Linked DNA regions of Nothobranchius furzeri. The protein of the gene in region 1 purifies or fractionates together with the protein of each later gene. This does not show direct contact. Links are inferred from orthologs where the notes say so. Each region holds a gene or a part of one and is shown on either strand. Other genes may lie near its edges. The genes, in order: naa30 and naa38.

Region 1 (4,562 bases):
AAAGAAAAATTAGGTGTAGCGTCCTGCCCTTTAATTCTTTACTGACTTCTTCACACGCTGCTTGTTTCCACGTGTTTTGTATTTTTTCACTCTGTGTAAAAACGCATCTGCCAAAAGCTGTAATCACAAGCGCACCAGTAACGTGATGCAACCAACACCCTGGAGATATTTGGAAAAGGTTTGAGACAGGATGGAGAGAGCCGCAGAGAGACTAGAGCAGTGTGTAATGAAAGCAGAAGGGGGAAGAATTAAAAAAAGGAAGGAATGTGGTGGTGGAGGGGTAGATGGAGGCACAGGATGGTTTTTTATTTTTTGTGAAAGCGACGATAGGTGCAAATGAACTCAAAATCGGCCAAATGTCTCTGGCAAGGACACTTGTGCTCCTAGTCCTAGGCACGGCTCTCTAAGTGACAGAGAAGAGAAGCCTGTTCAAGTAGATAGGCCTGGAAAGGAGATTTTGGGGGGAGTGGGGGGGGGGGTCTGATTTCAGCTCTTCAGTGAGGTTTCTGCTTCACGACTTGGCTTTAAAAGAAGAATCTTACTCCAGCTCAACCGCTCTGTTTTGTTCTTTGTCGAGTGTTTTCATAAACAAAACGATTTTTGTGTAAAACGTCTATTCTTTGGCTGCATAAGCATTGATCATGATGTTGCTTTCTATCAGTCAAATTATATGCTACTTCCAAAAACTATCAGAGAGTTAAGCTGAGTAAACTTTACAATGAGGTGTATAGAAACTGAGACATAGAAAGAATGGTTAAAGAAACAAGTCGCTGTCCACTTCAGAGTGGTGCTGAAATCACATGATTGGAGCGTTTATCCTTACAAAAATACTGCATAAGAGATAAACTGTAGATGATGAAATAAAAGTGAGATAGGGATGGAAAATCAAAACTTTGCAATGGTTGGCTGTTTATGGAGTCACACGCGCCCAAAAAAACAACTTGTAAACGTGATGAGTCCGACGCTGGTCTACAGGTGACATCTGCTGGTCAAACTGGAGTAGTGCAGTTGTATAAAGTTGAACCATGGCTTTTTGACGCCCTCTGCTGGTGAGAGAGCAGAAATGAGTCAGCTGTGGGGGCTGATTAACCCCCACAATCTTACAGTACTTTAATATTTGCTTTTGTTTTAAATTTAATTTAATTTAATTTACAAGAGTCATGCATACAACAAAGACAACAAAGAACAACATATCTTTGTTCCTACTTAAAACAATTGCATGTACAAGAGCAAAACAATCAGGAGTGAAAATTGATTACATTTACAATCCAAAATTTCCCCCATAGTATAAAGTTTGTACATTTGTTAGAAAACTGTTTGTCAAGTTGTGATAGTAAAAAAAAAACAATAAAAACTTCTTATGGTAGCTACATTGTTTAATTTCCATGCCTGACATAATTCATGATTTGTGCTTCTTGACTTGGTTTGTTTGTTGGGATTTTATTTATTAATTAATTTGTTTGTTTGTTTGTTTGTTTGTTTGTTTGTTTGTGTTCACGTGCATCAAAATCAGAATCTGCTCAAATCAGTCTGCAGCAGCTCAAATTTCAAGCTTTCCCCGGTGGTAAAAAGGCGTTGCCATGGCCTTCACTAGTGTCGTAAAACTTCATATTCTGTTGCAAAGAGTTTCGCTGCGAGACTGCTTTGCGGCAGCAGAGAAATCGAGGGGAAAGCAGTGCAAGCGTTGCCAGCGGATACGTTACCGCCTCAAAAGTCCTCGGATTTTCACCATAGTCGGCATTTTTTGTCATATATAAATTGTATAACCTCTCGGTTTGTGGATGAAATCGTGTTTAACGTTTCCCAAGCGTGAATCTCCACTTTAATGCAGTGGGATGGCCACAGTGCCGCCTGGGCCTGGTAACGCACTGCTTTCATCCCCGGCTGCAGTTTCTCCTTTCTCCGGGGAAGGGAGCGCGGAGGCGGCGGTGGAAGACGGAGAGCAGACCTGCCACGAGGAGGACTGCGTTCCAGTCGGTACAGGGAAGACGTCACAACCGAAAAACGACGTTACAAGGTCGGTCAGGAAGAAGCGGAAAAGCATGCTAGCTCAAGCTAGCCCGGCGGCGCTGCACCTGAAAGTGCAAGCCCGAGAACAGCAGCAGCTGAACGGCTTGGTCAGTCCCTCGGAGGACCGTGACAGCCATCAGCAGGAGGAGAGCCGGGCTGACAATCTCAGCTCGTCCGCGGACAACTGTGACAGCAGCGGCAGCGAGGGGACAGCAGCCGCGACAAAAAATAAGGAGCACTGCCAACACGAAGGCCCCTTCTCCAAAAACGGCAGTCACTCTCCTCTGATGAACACCTCCGTGAACGGTATGCCGGGTTTAACGAGGACTGCGGCGACTCACGACCACACGCTGCCCCCGAGACCGCCCAGCGACGAGCCACCGGACGGCGACGGGCCCCACGGGGAGGTCAGCCTAGCTCAGCCGCTGGCAGCGGACCTGGCCCGGCTCGACCTGAGCGGCTCCTCCGACCGGGCGGACGCGGACAACCACGGCATCTGCTACGTCCGCTACGAGTCTGAGCTGCAGATGCCCTGGATCATGAGATTAATCACCAAGGACTTGTCTGAGCCTTATTCTATTTACACGTACAGGTACTTCATCCATAACTGGCCGCAGCTTTGCTTTCTGGTGAGTAAAACCCGCCTTAACCTCGCTCTGACTTTGCCCAAAGCAGGAATATGTACAAGATAAGTCGCTGAGCGTGTATTTGAGCTGGGTGTGGCTACACACCCGTGGCTTTTTACCTCCCGTCAATGTAAAAAGCAGGTTTGGAGACTCAAATACTCCCTTTATATCCCAGATCATTTCATTTGACTCATCTGTCGTGTCTCGTGTTCTGTAAAATTGGATCAGGTTAAGTAATGAAATTTGGGAAGTTCCTGTGATTGTGTGCCCTCTGTGGTAAATATCCCAGTTTGTGTGTAAAGGCCACATGAGGAGGGATGACGAAATGAAGGTCAGAGGGCAGATCAGAGGGAGTCAGCAGATCTGACAGACTGACAAGTCCCTAACCTCTTGAGTGTGTGCGTCTGTCGCAGGCCATGGTGGAGCAGGAGTGTGTCGGAGCCATCGTATGCAAGCTCGACATGCATAAGAAGATGTTCCGCCGCGGCTACATTGCCATGCTGGCCGTAGACTCGAAACACAGAAGGAAAAGCATTGGTGAGATGTCCACAATGTCCAGAAAGTCTTGTCCTGTTGCGACAGTGCCACACATGTAGTAGGCCAATGTCTTGGGCAGATGTGTTTACGCAAAACTCCTTTTTAACCAAAAAAGACTCGTAATGTTCTGTATCGGAGCAGACGAGGTTCTCGTCTGGGGTCACCGACTTCTTCTGTTGCTCATTTCAGGTACTAATCTGGTGAAAAAGGCCATCTATGCCATGGTGGAGGGGGACTGCGATGAGGTGACTTGGACACACACAAGAAAAACGTTGTCTCAAACCTGCTTGAGGTTTATGCATTAAATATCTTCGGTTATGGTGTTAATATATGATAAATCATAGATAAATAGGATATACAATCTAATAAGAGGTTAGTAATTGGGTTTGTTTGTTTTTTTCTGAGTCAGAATAATTCAGAAGATGAGACTTTAGTGAAAAATCAACCTTGGATCATCTCATAATTTGGTACTTGGAGTCTAATTATTTGATACCCTGAAAAACTGGAGATTGTTTTGAACAAATACTTGAAACTTTTATTACATTTTGTGATTCTAAAGACATAAGTCATCTAACCTAAAATGTGCTTAAAGTCAAACTATGTAACTTTTTCATATTTTTAAATCATTTTCTTGAGCCAATATGTGATAAAATGACCCTACAGGGTTAATGAAAGACCACCCAGTCCCTATCGCCCCCTGTGGCCAGAATATTCCACTTGCAACTGCAGACTGGCAGCCTGGTGCTGCAGTCTAGCTCCAGCACTTTCCCTGCAATGTTTTATTTCATTCATTCATTGAGGCCTAGTCCACACGTAGCTGTTTTTTTTTAAAACGAATATCCGCCCCTCCAAAAACTTGCATCCACACCACCTCGTTTAAAAAAAACTCTGTCCACACGTACCCGGATAAATACGTTGTTAAGGACATGCCAGACCTGTAGGCGGCAGTACTTCCCCCGTTCTTAACCTTGTCCTTCATCTGTGGTCTTACGCAAGGAGCAGTAATTCCGCTTGCAAAAACAAACGAGCAAAAAGCGCTTGGACAATTGATAAAGCGAGCGCAGCTCTGAGGTCATCCATGCTGTCGGCTAGTGTAAACACAGGTCGCACACGTGATGTCAGCATTTTTTGTCGCGGAAAGTGACGTTACAGACCTTAAAACTCCGGTTTTGTCTGTCCACACGCAGACACCCAAAACGGAGAAAACGCAGATCTTCACTTTGGCCGGAGTTTTTAAAAAGATCCGTTTTCGTGTGGATGACAGGCCAAAACGTAGAAAAATATCTACGTTTTGGCAGATCCCTGGCTACGTGTGGACAGGGCCTCAATCGATCAAATAAAAGTTGCATTAAAACAATTCATATTCACAAATAATCATAAATGAAAAGG
Region 2 (3,655 bases), about 35 Mb from region 1:
CCAAGCAGAGGCCCAGACTTCCTTCTCCCTATCCACTTGGGCCAGCTCCTCTGGGGAATCCCAAGGTGTTCCCTGGGCCTGGCCTATCCCACCATGGCCCAGATGCTAAGCTACATCCCTGAACCTCCTTCCCACGGAAGTTCTCTCCCACTCAGCACAGATGTAGGGTGGGCATCCTAACTAGATGCCTAAGCCACCTCAACTGGCTCCTGTTGGTGTGGAGGAGGAGCTGCTCTACTCCGAGCCCCTCCCGGATGACCGAGCTTCTCACCCTATCTCTAAAGGAGGGCCCAGACACCCTGCGGAGAAAACTCATTTCAGCCGCTTGTATCTGTGATCTCGTTCTTTCTGTCACTACCTAAAGCTCGTGACCATAAGTGAGGGCAGGAACATAGATCGACCGGTAAATCGAGAACTTTGCCTTCTGGCTCAGCTCTCTCTTCACCACGACAGACCGGTACAACGCCCGCATCACTGCAGACGCAGAATCGATCCACTTGTGGATCTTTTGCTCCATCTTTCCCTCACGTAAACAAGACCCCAAGATACTTAAACTCCTCTCTTGGGAGAAGACCTAAAGGATGACCCAGGACACGCTGGTGAGACTGTGTCTCTCAGCCGGCCAGGGAACACCTTAGGATGCCCCGGAGGTGCTGGCCCATGCGGCTTGGGAGAGGGAAGTCTGGGCCTTCCTGCTTAGGCTACTGCTCCCGCAACCCGACTCCGGATAAGCGGCGGAAAATGCATGGATGGAAACTAAACTAAATGAAATCATATTTAACAAAAGTGATTTGAATTGGATCAGATCAATAAATTAATAAATAAAACGTTCAATTTTTTTTTATTTTAAATAAAATGAAGAAAAAAAATTAAATAGTTTGACCAAAATGACTTGAATTGAAATTGAAAAGCAAAAATTACTGAACTGAAATTATGAAAATAAATATTAAAAAAGTTAAGTTAATAATACTGAATTGGACTCAACAACGTTGGATTTGAATCTGGTCCAGACTGTGAAGCGAGTGATGAAAGTAGAATTAAACCTGGCAGTGGACGCATCACTAGGCTTGACTTTTAAACTATGTTACATCGCCCTCTTGTGGTAAATATTGCAAGAACATTTGTAAATGTTCATTCAGGTGTCCCGTAGTTTACAAATATCACTGATATTCATGCTGATATTAAACACTTGAATGTTCCTGTTTTTATATTAAAATTAACTACAAGTCATTTTCCCGTTGAAATTCTAATTTTAAAAGTTTTAAAGCCTTTACTTCCTCAGTGAGCAACATATTTATTTGTGTGACCCTGTTACTCATAAACTGTTTATTTGATATATTTGGTAGACAACATTTTGAAAGTCAAGTTGTTTGAAAACGTCAATTTTTCCCTAAAATACAGAAAAACCAAAGTGATCAAAAATCACCGTGGACTTTCACAGGCTGTAGTTTGAGTTTTATTTTGAAATTCATGCCAATTTGTTTCCGTTTCAATTAAAACCCCAAAATGATATATATTTTTATTTAAACAATACACGACTAATCCTATTTCATGCATTGATTTTATTTCCTAAAACCAAACCGTAAACAGTTTCAGAAAAAAAGAAACAAAAGTACGGCAACTTCCGGTTAAGCTTGTCCGTCAGTAAAACCGCTCCGTAAACAACAGCAGCAGGAGACGAGGTTATGGCAACAATGATTGAGGAAAATGGACCTTCAACTCGTGTATGTTTCCAAAGAAGCTTTTATTTTTCACACTGATGTTTTTGCCGCTCTCTATTTAATTTATTGAGGAACAAAAAGGTTATAAACAGAGAAAGTGCATCTATTTTAGAGCTTCGAATGGAGCTAAATGTTAGCTGGCAGCTAACACACGTTATCGTTACTAGCTAATTTATTTGGTTAAATCGTTTTAACGTTATCAGATATTAACATAATACTGATTATTTTACCTGAACATAATTAATAATTAAGTGTCGTTAACTAACGACATAAAATATTAGATTAGCTACCGAGTTATCATGAGTGTCGTTACCAGCAAGCTTTTAGACGGTTAAATGCACATAACACAATTCTGACGCTCTTGATAAAATTAAACTGATTTAATAGTTATCCGTGTTTTTATTTTTGCCCTCACCCAGGAGCAATCTGAAGTGTCTTCCTCATCCTCGTCATCCTCCTCCCAGGCTAGGCAGAAACTAGAGGGACTCCTCAACAAGAACATGAGGATCCGGATGACAGACGGAAGGACTCTGGTGGGCCTTTTCCTCTGTACAGATCGGGACTGTAACGTCATCCTGGGTTCTGCTCAGGAATTTCTCAAATCTACAGGTATGAATTAGGGTTTCCTCCAATTAGGGCACACGTTTATAGACTTTGATCATTCCAAAACCTGGGAATAGCATCTCTGTTCCTCTGAAATGCACAAACTTGATTTGTTTACTCACTTTGTTTGCTCATCCCAGCATCTAAAGCAGTTTTTCTCTTTATTTTAGTAACCAAACAAGCTGAACTTGGTCGCCCTTTGATGTTAACTGGTAACATGTTAAAATGTGACCTCTTAAGAAATTTCAGGTTTTACAGCATCAGAAAAAGCCTCAACGTTGATCAACAACCGCATAATGATATTATTACACAAGTATAATCTTTTCCTGCTTTGTTTACCTCTCAGACACATTCTCCCAGGGGGAACCCAGAGTCCTGGGTCTAGCCATGATTCCCGGTCACCATGTTGTGTCCATCGAGGTAGAGGTGGATACTCTAGAGGACACACAGGGATTCGGAGCCACACACTGACAGTTTGGCAATCTCTTGGGACTCACTGGGTCCTGCCTAGTCAGGCGAGTTCTGGAGAAATCGGGACATGTTTGCAGGATTTTAACCTGACTGCACTCTGGATTTAGCCATTCCCATAATGACTGAAAGAAATTTGACAGGAACAGTGGAAAAGTGGAAAAGGCCTCTGGGGGAAAGTATGTGTTTGCATAAATGTCTTGTTTTGTTGCAGTATTTTAAAATAAACGTTTACTTGAAGTTTTTGTTGCTGTGAAGCTTGTGTAAAAGTCAGTTTAGATCAGGGAAAAAGCTAAATAAACAAGAATGATTTATTTACTTTAAAGAAAGAAGCTAAGCTGGATTGTTTCTGTACTTTAATACATTTGAGCACATCAGCTGATTTAGTTTGGCCACAAATGTTTTTGCCACAAAGGAAAAAAAGAAAACAAAATCTTTTCAAGTTAAAAACAAAGAACCCGTCACATTTTGGTTCACACACAAGCTATTACAGTCTTAAGGCTGTTAGTTATAAAATAACTTAAGTTTGTGCAAAGAAGAACGTAAAATAGCATAACAGAAAATATGTGTCTCACACGGCCGCAATGCCCGAATCTCGTTTACAGACAGCAGTTTATTACTTTAGGTGTTGCTCTGTGGTTTGGTTCCACACTTCAGATAAATATTATCCAAACATTCTACTCATGATGCTGAAACCCAAGCTCCAGCTCAGCCTAGAGCGTTTATTTATAAACGAGGCTCTCGGATCGCTGCGGAAGACGCTTGGTTTGTAGAACAGCTTTAACAAGTAACGGCCTACAGTAGCGTTTCAGGAGAGGAGAAGCTGTGGAGCCAAAAAAAGGTGCAACTTCAACAAAATAAAG

The links.
Region 2: the proteins of naa30 (region 1) and naa38 purify together in Homo sapiens (co-immunoprecipitation; 3 studies listed by BioGRID and IntAct, with this or other methods). This does not show direct contact. The link is inferred for Nothobranchius furzeri from reciprocal best matches to the Homo sapiens genes NAA30 and NAA38.

What each region holds. Positions count from the first base shown.
Region 1 is NC_091742.1:23,665,329-23,669,890, reverse strand, and holds the start of naa30 (N-alpha-acetyltransferase 30), read left to right. Parts: upstream 1-1,467; 5' UTR 1,468-1,835; coding exon 1,836-2,639; intron 2,640-3,049; coding exon 3,050-3,173; intron 3,174-3,362; coding exon 3,363-3,418; intron 3,419-4,562. UniProt on the Homo sapiens protein: Catalytic subunit of the N-terminal acetyltransferase C (NatC) complex. Catalyzes acetylation of the N-terminal methionine residues of peptides beginning with Met-Leu-Ala and Met-Leu-Gly.
Region 2 is NC_091742.1:58,740,102-58,743,756, forward strand, and holds naa38 (N-alpha-acetyltransferase 38, NatC auxiliary subunit), read left to right. Parts: upstream 1-1,607; 5' UTR 1,608-1,685; coding exon 1,686-1,724; intron 1,725-2,140; coding exon 2,141-2,330; intron 2,331-2,670; coding exon 2,671-2,795; 3' UTR 2,796-3,032; downstream 3,033-3,655.